Lytechinus pictus: one gene and its partner. The protein of the gene in region 2 purifies or fractionates together with the protein of the main gene of each other region. This does not show direct contact. Links are inferred from orthologs where the notes say so. Each region holds a gene or a part of one and is shown on either strand. Other genes may lie near its edges.

Region 1 (11,481 bases), on a different chromosome or scaffold from region 2:
CGATTTCAAAACTTTATAAATTCATGTTTTATAAAATAGAGAGCAAGGATGCCATCATAGCTCTGGGTATTCTCACATGAAAGTTACAATTCCATGGATTCCATGGAGACAACCATTTAATCCCAATTAGGCCTATAACTTTAGGCAATATGATTAACTACTGGAACACATCAAAGTACACTGTAGCCCGAAAGATGAAAAGAGAAAACTTATGTGCTGGAAAGGTATTCCTTCTCAGTTTGCTCAAGAAGAAAATGAGAGCCACGCATTGGAATGGAAACTTGAAGGTAAAGTTAATAGGGATTCTCCATTGCACATATTAAGCGCCACTCACCATCTACTTGCATGACATGAGTGGGTACAAACTTGATGAGCGACTGATATAATGCAAAAAAAAGGCATTATCAGGGGTCCTAATGCTACATGGATGAAAAAGTCTGTCAATCGCGATGGGGTAAGAGATGCATGTGAAGCTCAATTCAAATGAAGGAAGGAAAGAAATGACAACATGACAATCATGTTCACATTTGTTGGAGACAAACAACAATACTGAACAGCGACACAATGAAAAACTTGCATATATGGAAACAATGTACTGAGGAAAAATTAGTGAGCTGGAAGGAAATATCAAGGACCTGATGGCTAAAAGACACACAGAGAGAAAAAGAAGCCATAAGGAAACAATCAGTAGCTAGAAAGGAAATCAATAAGAAATGAGTAGCCTGAAAGAAAGTAATATCCGATAAGAGTATCGACTTGATGCTGAAATGAAAGCACTACATCAACATGTATGCCGAATTCAGGTTGCAGATGCTCTTTATAATAAAGGAAACTTAACACTTAAGTATGGTATGATAGAACGACGAAAGGGAACCTTGGGCACATTGCAGAGGTGAAAGTTTCTTCTTGAAGCGAAACTTATTTAATGGGAAAGAACCAGCAGCCAGGTCTAGCACTTATAATAATAATAATAATACAGGTATATTTACCCAGGGAAGCCGCTTCAGTTCCGAAAACTGTTCTCCCAGCGGGCCCTGCTATTATTATTACCCCGGCTTTAGCTGGGCTACCTAGGCGCTCAAAGCATTGAAGGAATTTCTTCCTGCCGGGTACCCATTCATCTCACCTGGGTTGAGTGCAGCACAGTGTGGATAAATTTCTTGCTGAAGGAAATTACGCCACTTGACTATATCCATGCAATTACGCGGTGTGCTGAAAGTGATGTGCTAGGAGAGGGTAGCAATACCATGACAGATAGGTGTGTTACCAATGCTACTGTGGATGCACAACTTGAAGAGAAGATTGGGAAAAGGTCAAAAAAGTTTAGATGTGGGATGCACCTTTTGGATTCAATCGCAAACAAACCTGATCCTGTGCTGACATCACAGGACAAGGAGCGGATAGTTCCAAACATTAACGCAATGCCATACCATCGGCGAGGGGAAAGTAATGCACAGGCTCTAATACATGCTGCTCAGCATAGCTTCAACAATGCTACCACTGGGATATTGTATAATTAAGACCTTGAAGGATAGAGGCTCTAACCGCTCTATCAATTATTTACCACCTTTGGTTGGTAACCGCTTCAAATATCCTGTTTCATAGTGTAGCAAGTAAGCGAGGTAGGAGATGGGATAACAAAATATTTTACTAAGGTAATGAAACCTTCAAATGACCTGCACAGAGCATTCATGAACACATGGACAACAGAAGCAAAGACAGATGTCCGATGCCTTGGTATCATTCATCACATGTTGACTGGTCCATGGATGGCAACCATTGGTGCCAGTAAGAGCATACTTGATCTGAACGAAATTTTCCAAAATGTTTGTCTTCACTGAGGAGTGTCAGAAGGACACAGAGCTAAGATTCCACTGAATCCACTCTGAGGTAATTACCTTCCCAGGCCAGATTCAGGATGTGGAGAACTGGAGGGTAACACAAATCCTACCCCTGAAATGAATCCACACTCTCCCACATCCTCAATGGTTTTGTTTAGTGCGATCATAAAACAGCAATTGGCATTGCAGCTACTTGAAGGAAAATTCTGGGATCCATTTGATGAACTTCAAGAAGCTGCGTTGTCATGTTCAAACACAATTAGAATTTCACACTATTAATAGTACGTACACTATGGCTTTGCGTTACCGGTGACATCTGTACTTTTGGCAGATACTTTGTTCTGTTTCAGAAGTTAAATGTATTTTACAATGCTATACATACAAGTAAAGTTTAAAGTGTTTTCACATGATGAATTTGATATTAAGGATTATTTTTATATCTTTCTTTGGGACAGTAACAGCTCTTGAATTTTTTGTTGTCCTGCATAACACAGGTGGAGAGTGATAGTGCCTGTGTATGTGTTTGGTGTGTGCTGTGGTGATTGACTGCACTGGCTTGTGAAAAAAGTCTGATAAACATGTTGAATCATGACACATGTCGAATATAGGCGCATCTCAGAAAAGCGACTAATTTTGTAATAAGGAGGCAAGATTTAACCTGTACCCAACCTAGCCTTGAGGACGCTGTGATGTTTTTTAATATTTTACATATACTTTTACTTGAAATGGTCGCCATACATGCCTAAGCGAGACTTGTCAACACAGATAGATTTCCTTAGGAAATCCATATTTAGAGGGTGAAATCGGTTTGTTTCTCTTGATTTTATTTATCTATGAACCTTCATACGCCTTATGTGTATGAAGCCTGAACTTGAAGGGGTAAAATATGTTAGTATAAATATGAAAAATGAGAGGTTTCGTACCAGACCAATCTCATGTAGATCCCTCGATCCATTCGTAAACACTACAAATACAATAGGCTTGACCCTTGAACCGCTTCGATATGACGTAGCTTCTATGAGCTATGTTACGAATAGACAGGAATAACCGTCGTTTCTGGGGATTTATTCAACAATTTCTGACATTTTACTGTAATCCCCATTTACCGACGGTAGGGTGTACGTGTGGGCTCGCATGTGTTCTCATTCCCTCCCTTTTGTCAATTCACAGTTCAAAGTTTGATGTAATTTTACACATCGAATTTACAATCTAAGGATGTATTAACAACAAACTTTTAAAACTTTGTATTTTAACATTTAAATACTTTAAACGATATAGATGAAAAAGGCATGAAAAATATACTTTACCGATGTTTAATTGGGTTGAACACGATAAAAATGGTCAAAATGGCAGCCAAACTATAAAATATTTACAAACGAACGTCAACAATCACGAATGTGATATCGATATTGCTTTCGATATTATACGATCTGCTCCATATGCGAACGAAACCGAAGATAAACGATACTAGTTATACTAGTACTAGTACTAGTTATAATCGCGATATATCGATTCGAGACATTAAGTTAATACGATAATGACGTCATTCAAGATGGCAACTTGCAAGAAAGACCGTCAGGTCAGGTGAAAATGTCTTAGATGACAGATTTCTCAATCATCCAGAGGATTTTTTTCAATAACTCCGGCCCAAGGTATGCAATTACTTAAGTTATTAATATTTCCCTGATAATGGAAACCATGAAACTTTCAATTTTGCTTAAAAAACAGTTTTAAATCGCGATCTATAAAACGCTAGTTCACTATACGTTGGCTGTAGGTACGGGGCCCCATCCCCTTCAGTCTATGTATGGTGAGTGGAGCCAACGTAGTTCAGCGGAACAACCAAAATACAGAGACTGAAGCTTTTGGTCTATGTTACGAAGTGCCGTTTTGAAGAACAATTCATAGATTAAAAATAAAATCATTATTTATTAAATAATAAAATTTGAGAATATTATTATAATTAATAATTTTAATATATGAACTGTTTGAAATGTATGGCAACGATTTCAAGGCTCCGTGATGTAAAAGTATATGTAAAAATATTAATAACATCATCACAGAGTCCTCAAGGCTATACCCAACCCCTTCCCAATATTTTTTTTTACCTTTAATGCAGTTTCGCGCAGGCCTACTTCAAAGAAATAATTTTCTGCAAATGTCACTCATAGTCAAAGCAAGTCTCTAGTCTCGATCACATTTTAAATTAGGGTCAATAATAATATGCCAATTGCTTTTCCGAATATCGCAATCAGGAACGGGAACATTTGCAAACAAATGAGTGGTTTGGGGAAATTTGAGCGAAGTTAGCCGGTGCGTGGCGGTGCGAAACTGCCATTTAGCACCATATTTTTTTTATTTTATGAAGAAGTACATGAACGATACACTACTTAGTAATATAAACACAGCCATGCCATGCAATTCAAAGTTGTGTTTTGTTCGACTCTGTCTTTGAGACGCACAATCATTTTTAAAAAAACTTATCTTACTTAGGTTAGCTTTAGGCCAGCACAGCATCGTCCCAGGCGCCACGGGTCATCGCGCCTCACAGTCACACATCACTGCTGCTAGTCAGACTCATCTATAACACTTCCCTGCCCATAGTCACTCATACTAGATATAGCCGATGCAGCATGCAGCGGCGAGCGCCATGCTGCATCCTCATCACTCAACGACACCCGTACGTACCGTACCGGTATCCACAATGGTCAATGCACATGTCACGATTACAATATCATTCTCACTTGAAGACAATAAAAAACAATTTTTCACGTATTAATAGATTGGAAAATATCACAAATCAGTATCAAGTCATCGTCATTACCTATAATCAGATTCTCCCTTCCGTTTACTGTATGAATCATCGATATCTAAACGTCTTTTTGACATTCTCTTCGGATTTCTCGCTGCAGTAGCGCAAAAAGGCAAAAACAATTACTCAATGCGACGGTATTTACCGTAGAGGGCATGCAGCAAAACAGAGAGAGTATCGAGTAAGAAGGTCGACATTGTATTCAAACTTAGCTACTGTTGTCAAATATAAGAAAAGAATCTCTTGTCTTATTTGGTTTACAATTACACTCAACGAAAGCATGTACATTATCTTCGTCCACGTAACAATGCGGGCATCTCCCATCTGTTATAGCATACAAATTCTTTCTTACTGGCAATAAATTATATATAACCTTAAAATTTGATTCTTTCAGTTTATTTTCTTTACAGTGACACAAGTTTCTTTTAAAAGTTTTTGTCCAATCTAATGGTGACCCAATTATCTCTTCCCAATACAAATAGCATCTGTTATAGTGCTCGATGAATCTAAGGATAATAGTCTATAGAATTGTTTACTTGAAATATCATGAAAATTTTTAATTTGATTTTTTGCTCCTACATCTATTTTGGGAAACTCTAATGAAGGTTTATTATTGCGGTTGGTACAAGGTAATGTATTATCATTTATCCAGATTTTAGGGATAGCCTGACGTAATAATGTGTAGTCGAATATCAATCTTTGCTTACTCTTCTGCGATTTAAGAAGGGAATGAATTTCCACGAAATTTCCATTCCTGAGAATATCTTTCAAAAATACTATATATCCCAGATTTATACCATCCTTCAAAAAATAGGGTGATGTTGCGAAAGGTTACATTTTTATTGTGCCACAAAATTTCGTATTGTAGACCATGTACTTTAGGGTGATATTCTAAACAAGCATTATTCTTTATCTTTAACCAGGCCTGTAATATTTTAATGTAAAAGACTGGAAGATGGTGCTTGCATATATATGTTTTATATTACAAGCATCAAAGTCTGAATTAAGGAGTAGTTTCAAACCACCTAAAATATTAAACCAATAAAGGCTGAATTTACAACACATTCCTTTACTTGACGCAAGAATGCGCCCCAGCCATCTTAGTCGAAAGCTCAATTTTGGGGTATATAGATTAATCATGTTGACCCCTCCATTGTCTAGTTTGTTGGTCATTATAGGTCTTTTTACTTTTTCAATCTTTGTATGCCAAATAAAAGTATATATTAGAGAATTCAGTCTTTTTAACATTTTCTCAGGAATAATATCAACCATGAGAATATGTACTAACTACTAACTGACTTAAACCTAGAGTTTTGACAATGGTTACTCTTCCAAAAATAGTAAGCTTTCTTTTTCTCCAATTATATAATAATCTTTGCAATTTCGTTAGTTTATTTTCCCAATTCATTTTACGTGCTTTTTCTATATCAGGTGAGATGTAAAACCCTAAGTATTTTGTAGGAATATCTGTCCATGATAGACCAATATCATTGAGTGACCATTTGGAGTTACTTCTCCCCACCCACATGATCACTGTTTTAGTTTTATTAAGTTTTGGACCTGCTACATTCCCAAATAACTCAAGTTCTTCATTTATCAATTTTAGTGATCTTTTATCTAACACAAAGAACAGGGTATCGTCAGCATGTTGTAGTACTTTAACCTCACAATTATCTTCTGGTTTCAAAACAGGTATACCTCTTATGTATTCATTATTTCTTATTTTGTTAGACATAAATTCTGCTGCGAGGACAAAGAGTAATGCTGAAAGCCTTGTCTAATTCCCCTTTGTATTGAAAAGGACTCTGATATCCAGCCATTTACTAATACAGAGCTTCGAACATCTGTGTACAACATTTTTATCCATGTCTGGAAATTATTTCCAAAATTCATTTTTTCCAGACATGAGGACACAAAATTTATATCTATTACATCAAAAGCTTTAGAAAAGTCTGCCATCATTATAGCACCATCTAAGTATTTTCTTTTCATAAATTCAATGACATCAATTGTAAGACGTATATTAAAGGCAGACAGGCGATGTTTTATATAACCAGTTTGTTCTTCGCTAACGATCTGTCCAATAACCGATTGCAATCGTGCGGCCAAAACTGCGGTCATTATTTTATAATCGCAATTTAAAAGTGAGATTGGCCTCCAGTTTTCTAGATTTCTATGGTCTCCTTTCTTATAAATCATTGTAATAAGACCAGCTTTCTGACTTTCAGACATTTTCCATTTGTGAAGCATTCATTAAGAGCGCTCGATAAAATATATTTGATGTCGTCCCAAAAGGTTTGGTTAAACTCTATGGGAATACCATCCAGACCAGGTGATTTGATTTTATTCATAGAAAAAGCAGCACGTTTGCATTCGGCACTTGTTAACAATCCTTCACATTTATTTCTTCCTTCATCACTCAGCTTTGGAACATGAACTGACTTGATGTAATTATTTCTCTCAGTTTTATCGATATCAGATTTTCTAAATAACAATGAATAAAACTTTACGACTTCCTGTAATATCTCTGTTTGTTTAGTACAATATTTATCTTTGTTTACAGATAACAATTGGGTAATATTTTTTCTATCTGAATTATATTTCTCTAAACCTAAAAAATAACTTGTGCACTTTTCACCTTTTTCTAACCACCTGACTCTTGCTCTAATAGCAGCACCTTTACATTTATGCATTATACTTTCTGCATTATATATACGAACGTGTGCATGTGTTAAAAAATAACAAGCAGATCACGCGAAGATGGGAAAATTAAGGCCAGCTTAATTAGACTCCGGAAGCCGGAAGAATTAAGAAGGAAGAAGAAGAATTCAAATTTATTCAGGACTCATCATAAAAAGCATTAAAAAATTTATACAAGTACTACATAAGGTGAGATGAATATAAGAATTAAAATGACAAAACACAAGGCATAATGATCAGGGGTGACGATCAGAAGTAAAGGAGGTTTAAAGGGGTGGTCCAGGCTGGAAATATTTATATCTCAATAAATAGAGTAAAATTCACAAAGCAAAATGCTGAAAATTTGATCAAAATCGGATTACAGCCCGGACCATTAGTTAACACGGACATATTATAGAAATTTTGCACACTTTGAAATTAATGCCTGTAATGTATTCCTTTTGAGAAGAAGAAGAAGAAGAAGCTGAGAAGAAATCGGATAACAATATAACGAAGTTATTGAATTTTAAAGATTTGCATTATTCAGGTGAAACAGTGTTAGGCATGTCTTTATGAATATTCATGAGGTGGGCTGATGATGTCATATCCCCACTTGTTCTTTTGTATTTTATTATATGAAATTAGGTTTATTCAAATTTTTACTATACCAAGAAATAAAACAACTAGATTGACAACTGATTAAGTGCATTATTGGCGCAACTTATTTCATCAAAATATGGAGACACATAATTTACACATGCATGAAAAAATTAAACAATTATGATTTCATGTAATAACATAAGAAAAAGGAAAGTGGGGATGTGACAGCATCAGCCCAGCTAAAAATAATGAATATTTATAAAGACATGCCTGGAACTGTTTCACCGGAATAATGCAAATCTTTAAAATTCAATAACTTTGTTATTTGTTATCCGATATTGATCAAATTTTCAACATTTTGCTTTGTGAATTTTACTCTATTTATTAAGATATAAATATTTTCAGCCCGGACCATCCCTTTAAGAAGAAGAAAATATATTTACTTATACTTTGTGGCCTGTGCGATTTTTGGGGGCGGCGTTATTTGTATAGTATGGTTTAATTGATATGCATAAATGATTTTCCATTGGAATTGGACAATCTATAATTCCATTAATTTTCTTAAAAAAGCTACGAGCGAGTGAAGCGAGTTGAATTAAAGAATTGCCTTTTTATTATAAAAAATCTTATTTTTGATAGATTTTTATTCATTCTGAAATATTTCACCCCTTTCATATCATTTTCTTTATTATTGTTATTCTTTTTTTGGGGGGCGGGGGCTTAATTGCCCCCAGACCATAGCCGATAAACCCTTTAGAGCTTCATCTCCTTCCGAGCTAGCTGCGACCAATTTATTTTCATTTCACTTTTGTCATTACCATGTTCGTGAAACTTACTTTATTTTTTAGGGTTATTCTCAGAAAAATGCACCAAATTATTGATGGGAGAAAAAATCGTAAAAATGAAGTCTACAGAGTGGGTTGAAAGATGCATATTGTGAAAGTACCATGTATGAGAAAGTGGCAACAGAAAAGGGGCAAGTCGCTGTTGCGTCAATTTGAAGTACTGACCGGATACTGAAGCACTATATATATATCAATGTTATCGGAGGTTAATCGTTAGCATTGCCCACTTATGTCACTCAGTTATATCACTTTTGAAATGATTGAAATAGAAATGCACACAATTCAATATTAGTGTGGTATCAACAATTTCATTTACTGAAGCCAAAATGTTTGCAAGATATAAAAAAATATTCAATATTGTTTTTCAGAAGCAGGATTTTACCAAATAACATAACAGAAAAAACCATAAAAATCATTGCACATCTTTCGTTTAGTTTAATGTTCATAATTTGAATGAGGCAACCTTAAAATAACTTTTCATCCAGAACCTGAGATCCTAAGCTATATGCATGACCAATTATGGGAATCCAAAGATAGTTACCATCAAATCCTCTCAAAGGCATTTACCCTTGTCAATCTTCGTTACGGAAGTTAAATCAAGTTACAAATTGCAATACTTACTTTGTTAGCTTAGGAACATCCATATTTAGGTATTCGTATCGTATAACATTTTTTTAATTTATTAAAGATGAATGTGGAACGCATTGTTTAATTTTGCCACCCCCCATTAAAAAATGTTAAAAACAGACCAACAAACTGGCAACTGTCATATTTTTTGTCGTTCTTGTTCATAGTTGCAATAAGAAAACCGAATAACCGAGCCACAGAATTGTAGTTCATCTTAAAAGTTTCTGGCCCTAAGTAATCCTAAGCAAGATCCTAAGCAATATTAACGCATGGCCAATTCTGGGAATCCCAAAATACTTTACAATCAAATCCTCGAGTGGCATTTAACCTTGTCAATCTTTGTTACGGAAGTTTAATCAAGTTACAAATTGCAATATTTATTTTGTTAGCTTAGGAAAATCCATATTTAGGTATTCGTATAACCTTTTTTAATAAATAAAAATAAATGTGGAACGCATAGCTTAATTCTGCCGCCCCCTAAAAAAAATGTTAAAAACAGAACAGGAAACAGACAACTGTATTTTTCGTTGTCGTTGTTGTTCACAGTTGGAATGAGAAAACCGAAAAACCGGGCCACAGAATTGTAGTTCATCTTAAAATTTTCTGGCAATAAACAAAATATAACAATCGCAGGCCCGTAACCAGGATGAGTTTTCTGCAGGGTTACGAGGAATCCAGCCGCTTGCCAATAGCCAAAAAGATAGAGAGAAAAAACATTTAAAAAAGCAAAAAGGACATGGGGAAATGAATAAAAAAAGGAAGGTGAATGAAACAAGAGGCTAAAAATTCACGTTTGTAAGTTAATATACACAAATTATTAATGGAATCTATCTAATCGCGATATTTTTTTTTTCATTATTTTGTTTCATCGAGATACGCAATTACGCATCCTGTTCGTGATTTAAAAAATGATAAATAGCCAAAATGTTTGATTATCGAAATACGTATTTCATTCCTATAAATTCCAACAAACCGTGAGTGTTTAAAATATCCCTTTCCATGTTTTCATGTCAGTGGGCCTATATCAATTATTTCAGCGCTTTTCATGCGCATTAAAGGGGTCATCCAGGCTGAAAAAATGAAAGAAAAATGTGATCTGAGCAGATAATAATCAGACAAACAAAATACTGCAAATATGTTCAAAATCGAACAAGGAATAACGGAGTTATGCCATTTTTAAGATTTGCATTATTTTAGTGAAACAGTTTAGTCTATATGCATATCTTCATGAATATTACAAGAGTTCATTGATGGTGTACATATTACACATGTAATCCCCACTTGTTCTTTTGTATTTTATTGCATGAAATTATTTTTTATTCAATTTATATATCCTCTTTATTTGAAAGCGTGCTTAAAATGTCTGGCTTTCATATTAAAATGACACATATTTTCAGCTTGCGCGCTTCGCACTCGCTGCGCATCATTTCCTCAGTTAGCAAGACATCCACCCTTTTTTATGATTACAAAAAGTCAATAGAATGTCCCGTTTTGGGGTCTAAACCTCAAAAAGCGCACGTTTTACATTTGCAATAATTGTTCATTGGCTATATATCTTGTTCTCAAATTAAAACGTCCATTAATTATTTTTTAAGATCAAAATATAAAAAATTTCAGTCGCATCAATTAAGATACCCATGCATCCTTGTATTTGGTACAAATAGTGTTTATAATGTCAAGCGGCAGTCAGAATACGAAAAAAAAATCAGCTTAGCACTTTGCACTCGTATTAATAGTTTATTCAGATAACATCCTGATATTTAAAAAAAATGCTTAGAATGTCAAGTTTTCAGGTTAGACTATACAAAAGTTTTAGGTCGCGCTTCGCTCTCACATTTGTGGTTGGTGATATATTAATCCCCCTCATGAGTCATTGCAAATAGTTTTTCTTTCTCTTTCCTTGTCCATGAAAGCTTATTGTTTCTCCTTCTTCCCTTTCCACCGTTTCTGCCGACTTCATGAGCATTAGACAAAGCCACACCTTTTGTGGAACTAGATTCGTACTATCAATCTCAGCAAAGTACAGCAGAGAAGTGTATTAACTTCCGTAACAATTACTGAAATAACTTATATAGCA
Region 2 (11,452 bases):
GAACTTTTATTATTTTGTGTGATTTACAAATTTATTTTTTAAAAGTGCTCTGTAAAAATGTCAATTTTATGGTCTGAATATCAACATTTCTGCTCGTGCTGCGCGCTCGCAAATTTTGATGAACAGGTACCTATTATTTTCGTGTATTCCATAAAGTTTTCAAAATACCCTTTTCAGGTCTGATTGTCAAAACGTATCAGCTAGCGCTGCACGCTCGCATTTTTATTTGTGAGTTATGTATGTCTCAATATTGATTATACAACAAACTACTTAAAATCCCCTTTTCATGACAGTTTATCAAAAATTTTGTCTCACGATTTGCGCTCGCATTAATGGTTCAAATATTTTATTTATTTATATTTATTTATTAAAACATCTTTCAACAGGATAAAACATTAATCAGCTCGCAGGCTGTTTCACATAATGGTCCTGCATAAAGAAAATATACACATATTAAAGAGAAAGATTACAAATAATTAGAAATACATGTTATTATATACAGCAAAACTAAAATACAAATAATGCTAAAAATGAAACATCAGAAAAAAAGAACAAATAGCAAGATTTATCTCACAGTAAGATAAAGAAGTGAAGGAAAAGGAAAGAGGTTTTATACATTGATATCAAGACAGGAATGGGTCTCAATTTAAAGAATTGTAACAATTTTAAATACTCATAGGAAATCATAATAATCGATAATAAGTAGATGTGTATTATTTGGTAATCATGCTTATAATAACAATACTATAGATATATATGGACCATGAAAGAACAGTTAAATAATTGTTATAGATTTAAGCGAAATTTCTTGTAATGATGTTTGAAACTTTCAACAGAAATGGCATTCTGGATATCTTCCGGGAGTTTGTTCCAAGTTACTGCTCCGGCATATTTAAAGGATTGTTTAAATAGGGATATGATAGGTTTGGGTAATACTACATTTAGTGAATTTGCATTCCTAGTGTTCATGTCATGGCGATCGAAGTACATTTCAATTTCATTTGATAAGCGGGGAGGGGCAACGCCCCTTATACACTTGTACATGAGAATTGCCAGAAAATAATCTCGACGTTGGTCAATAGTTTGCCAGGAGAGTTGATTTATCAATGTATTCCCGCTCGCAATTTGATAGTCAGAAATTCCAGATACATATCTGGCAGCTCTATTTTGCAATCTATTTAGGGGCAATTTGTAAGCTGCTGGACAGTTGCCCCAAACAGAGATTGCATACTAGTAGTCTATACAGGGCTGAATTATGCATTTATATAGGATATTTAGTACATGTGAACTCAGGAATTTACTCAACTTGCCTAAAGAGTAGATCTTATAGGCAATCGATTTACATAATTCTCTTAAATATACATTCCACTTCAGGTTTTCATCTATCACAATGCCTAAATACCTTATAGACTTTACCTGTTCAATCAGATCATTATTAATGAATGTATTCAATGTATCGGATGATCTTAATTTAATTTATAGTATTGTTTTGGTTTTGCTTGTATTAATGCGTAATCGGTTTCGGTTATACCAGTCATTTAAGGCGTCTACATCTTTCTGTAATTTCTTTGTTACATCTTCCAATTTACTGTCTGAGGCAAATACTACTACATCATCAGCAAATATGCTGCAAGTACCTTCAGTAATACATTCAGATATATCATTAATACAAATTAAGAACAGGATGGGGGCCAGAACACTGCCCTGCGGTACTCCAATAGAAAGCTTTTTTAATATTAGATAATTTTCCTTTGGAAAATACAGCTTGCTTTTTATCATTTAAATAGTTTTTTTTTACCAAGTGAGCATATTATTGATAATTCCATATTTTTCGAGTTTGAATAGAAGAAGTCCATGATCTACACAATCAAAACATTTTGAGATGTCTAGAAAGCATGCAGCAACCATTTCTTTCATATTTATAAGCATCATAGAAATCATCTAAGACACGATGTAGGCACGTTATTGTTGAATGGTTCGGAAGAAATGCGTATTGATCAACATTAATCATGTCATGCTTTTGGAGGTAGGATAGATTGTATTTCCTTTTCTATGATTTTGGGGATGTGACTACCGACTGAGATTGGTCGGTAATTCGATTTTTCGTCTTTTGAACCCTTACCTTTGAAAATCGGTGTCGTACGTGCAATTTTCCAGTCAGCAGGAACAAATCCCCGTATCTAAACTAGTGTTAAAGATGTCACATAAGGATAGGGCAATAAATGGGGCAGCTAATTTCAATGATTTTGTATCAAGTCAAGGGTATCTAAGTTACTATTTGATATATTAACTGATGTATCCTATTTATAATTACAAAGTGCTTTTTCAGGCCATAATATCATCAGATTTCGCGCCCTCATTATAGGCATTAATGAATAAGATATTAATTTAATAATTAAATTGTCCCTTTTGTTTCATCTCGCGCTTAGCAAGAGGAATAGGAAGATAGTCATCATTTTCATATGCGTGTCCTAAGGATGTCCCGGTCCTATATGTTAAAACTCAAAGTAATAGTAATGAAAAATAAAATAAAAATCAGCTCCTTATTAAGTGCGATCCATATCCACCTCACAATTTTCCTACAAAGTGCTTAAAATATTGAGCTGAAATTGACTCTTTTTTTCAGATCGGAATATCACATAGTTTAAACTCGCGCTTCGCGCTCGCTTTGAATTTTATGATAAAAGATGTAATTAGGATGCCTAGATTCTAGGTCTAAATATATGAAACACGCGCGCGCATGTTTATTCAGATGATCAACTTGTTCTCTATTTAAATCATTATCCAGTTTCAGATCACAATATCAAAAATTCTCTGCTCGCGCTTTGTGCTCGTATTATTAATGTAGGAAGATTCCCTATTACTCACTCTTTTCATGATTTACAAAACATGAATATAGTGTCCCGTTTTTAAGTCTAAATCTCGATTTTTTCCGCTCGCGCTTCGCGCTCGCATCAATTGTTTAGTTATACTTATCCTGTTCACGATTAAAAAATTTGATTAAAATTTTACATTCTTTATGTAAATGTCCAAATATTTCAGCACGCTCGCATTATTTGATTGTTATAATATGTAACGTCTTCATGGCTAAGTTGCAAGCAGTCCTCAACAGGTACCTTTTCGATCAGTTCAAAACGTATACAAAAATGTTCTGCTCGCGCTCTGCACTCGCATTAATGTAACGAAGATCCCCAATTAATCATCCTTTTCATGATTTACAAAACTTGAATAGAGTGTCTCGTTCAGTAGGTCTAAATCTCGAAATTTTGCGCTCGCGCTTCGCATCGATTGTTTAGTTATATACCTATCTGTTTAAATTACAAAAAGTGCTTAGAATTTTCATTCCTTAGGTAAAAATGTCAAAAAATTTCACCTCGCGCTTCGCGCTCGCATTATTTGATTTTTAAAATATGTAACGTCTTCATGGCTAACTGCAAGCAGTCTTTAACAAGTATCTTTTCCATCAGTTCATTTCTGCTCACGCTTCACGTTTGTAGTAATTATTCATTTACATACACATCTTTTTCAGGATAGCAAACATTGCCCAGAATTTTCAAAATTTTAGGAAAAATACATAATATTTCTAAAGAAATTTAGCTCGCGCTTCGCGCTCGCATTATATAAATAAGGATTATGATATTATATATTTATGTTTATTCATAACAGTAAAATTTTATTTTATAGGTCTATACTTTATCGTTGATATGATATAAACTCAAACATTTTCATGCCAAAATGATTTCAATTAGTGAGTGATGAAAGGATTTATGTTGGACAGTTCATAAAGTAGAACAGCACTTCATCACATACATACACTAGCGTACCTACGGGGGGGCAGGGGGGGCACTCTGCCCCCCCTGACGAGCCACAACCCATACAAAAGACATATACCTGCCCCCCCTTTTTTTTTTTTTTTTTGCTTGTCAATTTTTTTCTGGTACGATGACCTTCATTTTTTAATTGAAGACCTTTTTTTTTTTTTTTTTTTTGCTTGTCAATTTTTTTCTGGTACGATGACCTTCATTTTTTTTAATTGAAGACCTTTTTTTTTTTTTTTTTTTTTTTTTTTTTTTTTGCTTGTCAAATTTTTTGCGGCCGATTTTGCCCCCCCTGTGGAAAATCCTAGGTACGCCACTGCATACATACCAAACGAATTGTAATGTAAACACCAATGTGCGCTACCATAATAACACACTGAAATAGACAAGTTCAGGATTTCTTTGAGCCACTTGCAAAACTTGGATAACAGAAAAATAAAACGTTCTGTAATAAAAGTAATTTCTTCATATTTCAACATCACAATGGATCCGAATGGATATTGATATGATACATATATAGTTTAATGTAAATTATATAATAATAGCAACTAGCGTTCAGGTTTTCAGAGCAATACCGCATTGCAGCTAGTCCAAGTGGATGTAAGGTTCCTAAACTAGTTTCTATGGTAACGGTTACCGCATGAATTTTTAAATGTGTATAGCGAATCAGGGATTTAAATTTATAGGTGTTTCTTAGGTACCATTCTATCAACCTGTTTTGAAGGGGAAATTCACCCTGACAAATGGTTTACTGTTAGATTAGCAGAAAAATATATTGGTGAAGGTTTGCGGAAAACCAATCAAAGATTAAGAAAGTTATTAGAAGTTTGAGTTTTTGATTTGTGACGACATATACTAGCAGCTTCACCGTATTTTATGCACCAAAAATGTATACTTTTCAATTTTTAATCAGTGGTTCATGATTGCTAAAATATCTTTCAGGAGCGGATGTGAAATGATTTGTATGTTGATATACTTAAGGTACAGTGAAAACCAATTTCCTTTTTTTTAGAAAATGACATTTCATTCATATTTTTTTATTACACCATATGTGGGAAAAACTGCTCGCAAATGACGTGAACTTTAAAATGTAAAGTTCTAATAGCTTTTAAAATCTTTGATGGATTCCCTAAAACCCTCATCAATATCATTTTAATTATTTTCTGCTATTTCTACAATAAACTATATGTCAGTGTGAATTCCCCCTTTAATGAATAAAGTACAATACTTGGGATCCAAAGTGTGCTTCAAAATTGAATATTAGAAGAGCGATTTGACATGAGAAGGCCGTGCATGTAAGTTCCGGGGGAAAAAAGAAATACCAACTCAAGTGTTATCAATTTGGTGCAGAAGATCTACAGTATGGTTTAAAAATGTTACCCTTTCCATTAGTCCAACATTATAATTCCAATTTTCTTCTCAGACCTTTTCTTATTTAATCTACTGTACATAGAGGGGCTTTTTTATTTTTTGGCATGGGGGTTTAAGACTGGCCATTTATACCTCTTTCATTTTTACCTCAGCTATTTTTGCCTCTGCCATTATTACCTCTGCCATTATTACCGCTGCCATATATTCCTCTCACATTTTTTATCTCTGTCATTTTTACCTCTGCCATTCTTACCTTTGCCATTTTCACCTCTGCCATTTTCACCTCTGCCATTTTTACCTCTGCCATTTTTACCTCTGCCATTTTTACCTCTGCCATTTTTACCTGTGCCATTTTTACCTCTGCCATTTTTGCGTGAATGAGAAATAATCTAAGTAATTTCAGATGAAAGAGGAGATTCTAAGCTTTACAATGGTAGGTCATTTGTCTATTGTATTTGTGATTGTGAGATAGTCATCATTTTCATATGCGTGTCCTAAGGATGTCCCGGTCCTATATGTTAAAACTCAAAGTAATAGTAATGAAAAATATCAGCTCCTTATTAAGTGCGATCCATATCCACCTCTGCCATTTTTACCTCTGCCATTTTTACCTCTGCCATTTTTACCTGTGCCATTTTTACCTCTGCCATTTTTGCGTGAATGAGAAATAATCTAAGTAATTTCAGATGAAAGAGGAGATTCTAAGCTTTACAATGGTAGGTCATTTGTCTATTGTATTTGTGATTAAGTTATGATAAATCATCGATAAATCTCGGTTTCGTTTTTTGTGGGACGCACTGTATATATAGTCATAAAAAAATGTCTGTTGAATATAATCCAGTGATTCCAGTCAATTATGTCATTCAGGGGCGAAAAGGAAAATTTAATGAAAAAAAGAAGATAAACGAGAATTGCACAGATTAAAAGAGTGTTAATTATGTCACAAAGTCACAATTAATTTATAGGGGGCTGTGCTCTAGCTGCATATGTCGATATCGTTCGTCCACTGCCCTCCCTGGATTGACACTGCCCCCTTTCCTCTCCATTTCTCTGCTCCTCTTCACATTCTTTCTCATCACCTCTCCCTACTTCTACTTCTCTTGTTCCTCTCACCTTACTGCGCCAACCCCCCCCCCCCCCCTCCTCCGAACACTCATCGATCGAGGGCCGCCAATTAACTGCATGTCCCCGAGCTGTCTTTTATCTCACTCTCCCTACTTTTCCTTCTTTTACTCTTTCATTTCCCCACTGTTTCTTCCCCTCCCTCCCCTTTTAATTTGCTTGTTTTTTTTTTTGTTTTTTTTTTTTGGGGGGGGAGGCTTGGCCCCCATGACATCTCCACTGCCACGTCATGATGATTGACGTGTTTTTCCAGAATTCCGAACATTGATGAGCGTTCCATAATCGTGAAGTACGAGTGGCGCGCGTACCGTGCGTGGTTTACGCACACGGCCGGTATGTATGCTTGCCTGGTACGGTAGATGTCACGGATCGAAATGGCGGCTGCTTGTTCAGAAGTTCTTCGCGTGAATAGAGACCTTCTTGATAGCCAGTTTGATGGCTACAAATTATCTCTCGACCCACTACCAATTTATTCTATTTCCGTCAAGTCTGGTGAGTTCAGTTTGTTTTATACAAGTTGGCAAGTGCGAGGCTTAGCAAGCCCTTGTCCCATGCATTCATTTTTGCGTCGCTATGATTTAAGTCGTAATTAGGCGAAAGTGCGGACCGATCAGCTGGGCGTACATAAATTGCATTGCAGTGAATAGCGAGCGCGTATCATTCACACACTTTATTTCGCTCCAAATCCAATTGTCCAGTCAGTCCGCAGCCCGTCCGAAAGTGCTCTATTTTATTCAGCGGTATGCATAGCCGTCCGTGGTTATGCATACGTAATGAGCTGTGAAGACGAACTTTCCGATCGGTGTTTTTTGCTCTTAGAATCGTTTATTCCTCACATAATTGGTCTTATTTTATAGATAAAACTTTGAAATTTCTGATCAGCTAAATAAAATGCACATTTAATGTATTTTCAAGACCGATATTTAGCTTAGAAAAAATGAGTTTTTTTAAGAAATATATGTGAATAAACAGAGCGCATTTTTGCATCGAAATCATACTTGCGTCAAATTGATATTATAATCAATATAAAGCGTAGACATTCTTATTTACGACTGAAAAAAAATTATGAAATTTCATGATGTAGCAAAGTCAGGAACCACAAAAAACCACGGCAATGTCCATCGCGAAATGATTGGAATTGTAGTAGAATTGCCGACGCGTTCTGATTGGTCAACAGCGGCGCACAGACTTACAACATTATATATATCTTAAAAAACCCGGAAGTAATACGGAAGAGATCGATGGCGAATTGCGTGAGCGCTATGTTTTGACGTGTGCAAGGACCCTGGTTCGAACCCACCAAATTGAGTTTTTTTTTTTTTTTTTTTTGAGGGGGGGGGGGGGGTTGATGGGGATATGTTTATGCTTTTTCTTTAAATCGTATTCCTTCATCGTTCCTACCCAGCTTTATTCTCTTTTTACTTTCATATGAAGTTCTATTTAGGCCTGTATTTATTAAATCATGGAGCTATTATTAATAGCTCTATGATTAATTCTTACTTCTTCTTAATCACTGCTTTTGATTTTCAAGTTCTTGATTACACTTATTTGGGCAGGGGTGGGAAGGGAAGTGAGTTAAAGGTCAAGTGCACATCAACAAAAAAGTATTTGAATAAATAAAGAAATTTCCCTGTTTTTACACAAAACAGTTATATACACAAAACAATGGTATGCAAATAGAGTTGATTATGTCACTCACATCAAATTACTTTTTAAATTTTTGTTGCATTTTTATTATATAAATTTTAGCAAATTTGATGTAAAAAATCTTTCTCGAATCACAATAGGTTACATTTATGGAAACTACGAATGTTAATGGAGGAATTAAAATCCCTCTCAAAATTTGTTAATGAAAATTAAAATAAAATATACATGTCATGTACATGTATCAAACAAAAAAATACACAAGAAATTAGAGTGCGTGTGACATAATCGGTTCTGTAATTTGCACATTGACCAAGATGAGCATATAATTGTTTTATAAAATTAGGCAAATTTCTCAATGTCAAAATAGTAATTTTTTGAATTTTGAATCATAGTTTTTATAAAATTCTCTGCAATACTTTATTTTTCTTTAAATTCAAATTATTTTTTTGGTGGGGTGGACTTCTCCTTTACTCTTTGCTTGGAATAGGGAATGCACATTAATATTTATCCACGAACAAAATTGTCTAAACATATGCAAATCAGTAATTGGACACATGCTCACTTTCCTTTCATCCAGGCCACCCCCTCACATCCACCAGGTTTACAGTCTTATAACAAAAATTATGAATTAATTATAATACCATCACACCATAGCTCCATGATCACACAACATTCATACAGTGCTTCACAACAAATATTTCACTATTGTTCATATAATTACTGTGGAAAACAAAAACAAGGCGTAACCACATTCAAATACCATATAAAAGGACAAATATATTATACCTTTCGAAAAAAAAAAATTGTGAACATACATGGCACTTAACCTTCAGCACATTAGATAACATATAACAGAGTTGCTTGAGAACAAAATATAATTATGGGGCATTGCAAGAAACTTATGTTCAATTGCAAATCAACTACATGTTTGTGTTTAATCAAAGGACTTACCCTTAATTTTGGAATGTGTGATTGAGTAGAAAGTTTCTTGCAATGCATCAAAAATGTTCTTTGGTTTTGAATTGTGAATTTTTATTTTTGTCAAGCTGTATTCCTGTCCAAGTCAGTATTCTTAGTCCTCCCCAAAACTGTGCTCTAATTTTTTTGTTTCCAATATCGATAAAGATCAATTTTCTGTTGTATCATTATCAGTCCAAAATTTGCAAACGAAAAAAGGGCTTTGTCCAAATCATGGTCTGACCATTATAGTACATGATGGAATCTCCCAGAATGAAGTAGCAAGCAGAGACCAGAGTCAGAAAGTATGCAGATCTGTGTGTAGAAGAGACAAAAAAGAGAGAAATAGTCTAAATTATTCAAAGTATGAATTATGTTACATGTAAGTCAATTAAGAGACTAACTAAGTACTGTCTGTGACAGACACAATTTTTTTATTTGAACAAAATGGTTTATAAATACTACTGAGTACGGTAGTACCAGACTTTTTACTTTGACTTTAAACTGTTTATAGTCTCTAGAGTAGACTGTCTGAGCTAATCATCATTTAATTCTTAACCGCAGCCTGGGGCAAAAATCATCATGGGGCTCATCTTCGACTAATTAAGAAAAAAGGTTAACAATTTTCAACATAAATCAAGAAATATCTCAATCTATAAAAACTTGATGGAATTCGGAAACCTGATAATCATTTGAATAAAACTTTAGAAGGGATCTACTTATTAAGCTTCGTTTATATTAAGTCTTAATAAAAAAAAAAAACAAGTCCACCGTCCACAGTCAGAAATATAATGCGAGCCATCTGCCATCATTACAGAAGTTTCAACGTATGGGACCAAAGGCGAAATTCTACCAACCCGCGACGAACGTAATTTTGGCATTATTTCGCGCCATCGTGGAGTGAACGAGAAGGTTACTTCCGGGTAAAACGTAAATTTCTTGATTTTTAGGGTATCATTTTCTCTAAAATAAAAATACAAGGTGAGTTTGCGTCAAGTTGGTTCTGACATATTTTGAACAGTGACTTTTCTTCTTTCTAAAAAACCCCGATCGAAACAATTTGGTTATGTAGCAAAGTCAGGAACCAAAAGTGAAATTCCGACTACAAAATCGCGGTTAAAATATTACTAAAATAAGCATCAATTAAAGAGGTAAAAATGGTAGGTTGAAAATGTCGAAATATGGACAATTATATACCAAAATGTAGATGAAGGTCTTGAAAATAACTTACCACAATTCGTTTCGACGTAAACTGAAGTTAGCGACCAGTACAGAGCTATAACTTCAGCCCCTCCAATTCAGTGGGAAAATCAAGCCAAATTGATCGCACGTTTTCCTTCGGAGACCGCTAGAGGGCCGCTGAATAAATCTCCGTGAATATGCTCATTATCGCGCGAGCTGCGGTCTGACTGTGTCCCTTCGGCCGAGCGCTGGAGCGGCATTTAATTTGGAATACTCAGTACTCTGACAGTAGCTTGACAAAAACTGAGTCAGTCATGCTCAGTTTCTTCCTTTATTACGCTGATTTTGATTGGTCAAAAATTATGGTTGTTGCTTCATAAATCTTTGGCAAACATCAAAAAAGACAAAAATATGCAGCGTGGAGTTTCACTTACCGGCGTGCGATGGAAAGACCTCAGGTTAAGATAATACTGCTTCTTCGCTTGAAATCGCCCTCTCATAATCATCGAATCTTAATGAAACTCGGTTAGTAATAAAATTTGATTGAGAACATTTTATGAAAGTTTCATTGAATTTGGTTCATAAAGAGCTAGCGATATTTTTTAGTGTTGTGAGGTGTTTGCGAATCTGATTTTGCTCATTTTGTAAAGCGCTGTGATATTGTGAAGAGCACTATATAAATACTTATAATGTTGTCTTGTAATATTGTATTGTAATGAGACAATAATAATGTCAATGAGACATTATTATTATTGAGACAATAATAATTATTATAATAATTATGATTATAGTAGGGATGCCACCCCAAAAATTGAAGTGTTGTAAATGTAGTTTTAAATAGTTTAACTGGAATAAAGTCTGAAACACAAGTAAAAACTAAAATGACACCAAGATCATCAAAATTGGACCAGGGGTTGCCGAGATACGGCCAATTCAAATTTTTAAAAAAGGCAGATATTCTTCCAAGAAGTGGCCAAAATGGCCAAAATGTGTTTTCTGCCATTTTTAAAGCTACCTATTTTAAAACTTGAAGTATAGAGGTTGCTTTTCCTTGGGGCACCTAACATAATAACCACCAACAAGTACCTGAAAAATTGGGTCCAAACTACTTTTCGTTTTTATATTAACGGAGTTCAAAATATGGGGAAAACACAAATTTTCACCTTTGGACCCAGGGGAAATTGGCAAAAAATGACTAAGTCCAGCTAATTAATATGCGAAAATGGCATAATGCGAAAATGGCATAATTTGAAAGTGGATGGGCAATTAATCACAAAATTTCACACAGATGTAGTGTTTGTAATTTTGATTTATATATGTTTTTTTTTTTAGCATATATATACAATAATATGCAA

The links.
Region 1: the proteins of nudC domain-containing protein 1-like (region 2) and putative pre-mRNA-splicing factor ATP-dependent RNA helicase PRP1 purify together in Homo sapiens (co-immunoprecipitation; 3 studies listed by BioGRID and IntAct, with this or other methods). This does not show direct contact. The link is inferred for Lytechinus pictus from reciprocal best matches to the Homo sapiens genes NUDCD1 and DHX15.

What each region holds. Positions count from the first base shown.
Region 1 is NC_087256.1:1,565,962-1,577,442, forward strand, and holds the start of putative pre-mRNA-splicing factor ATP-dependent RNA helicase PRP1, read right to left. Parts: upstream 4,793-11,481; 5' UTR 4,731-4,792; coding exon 4,666-4,730; intron 1-4,665.
Region 2 is NC_087246.1:46,601,801-46,613,252, reverse strand, and holds the start of nudC domain-containing protein 1-like, read left to right. Parts: upstream 1-6,591; 5' UTR 6,592-6,670; coding exon 6,671-6,803; intron 6,804-11,452.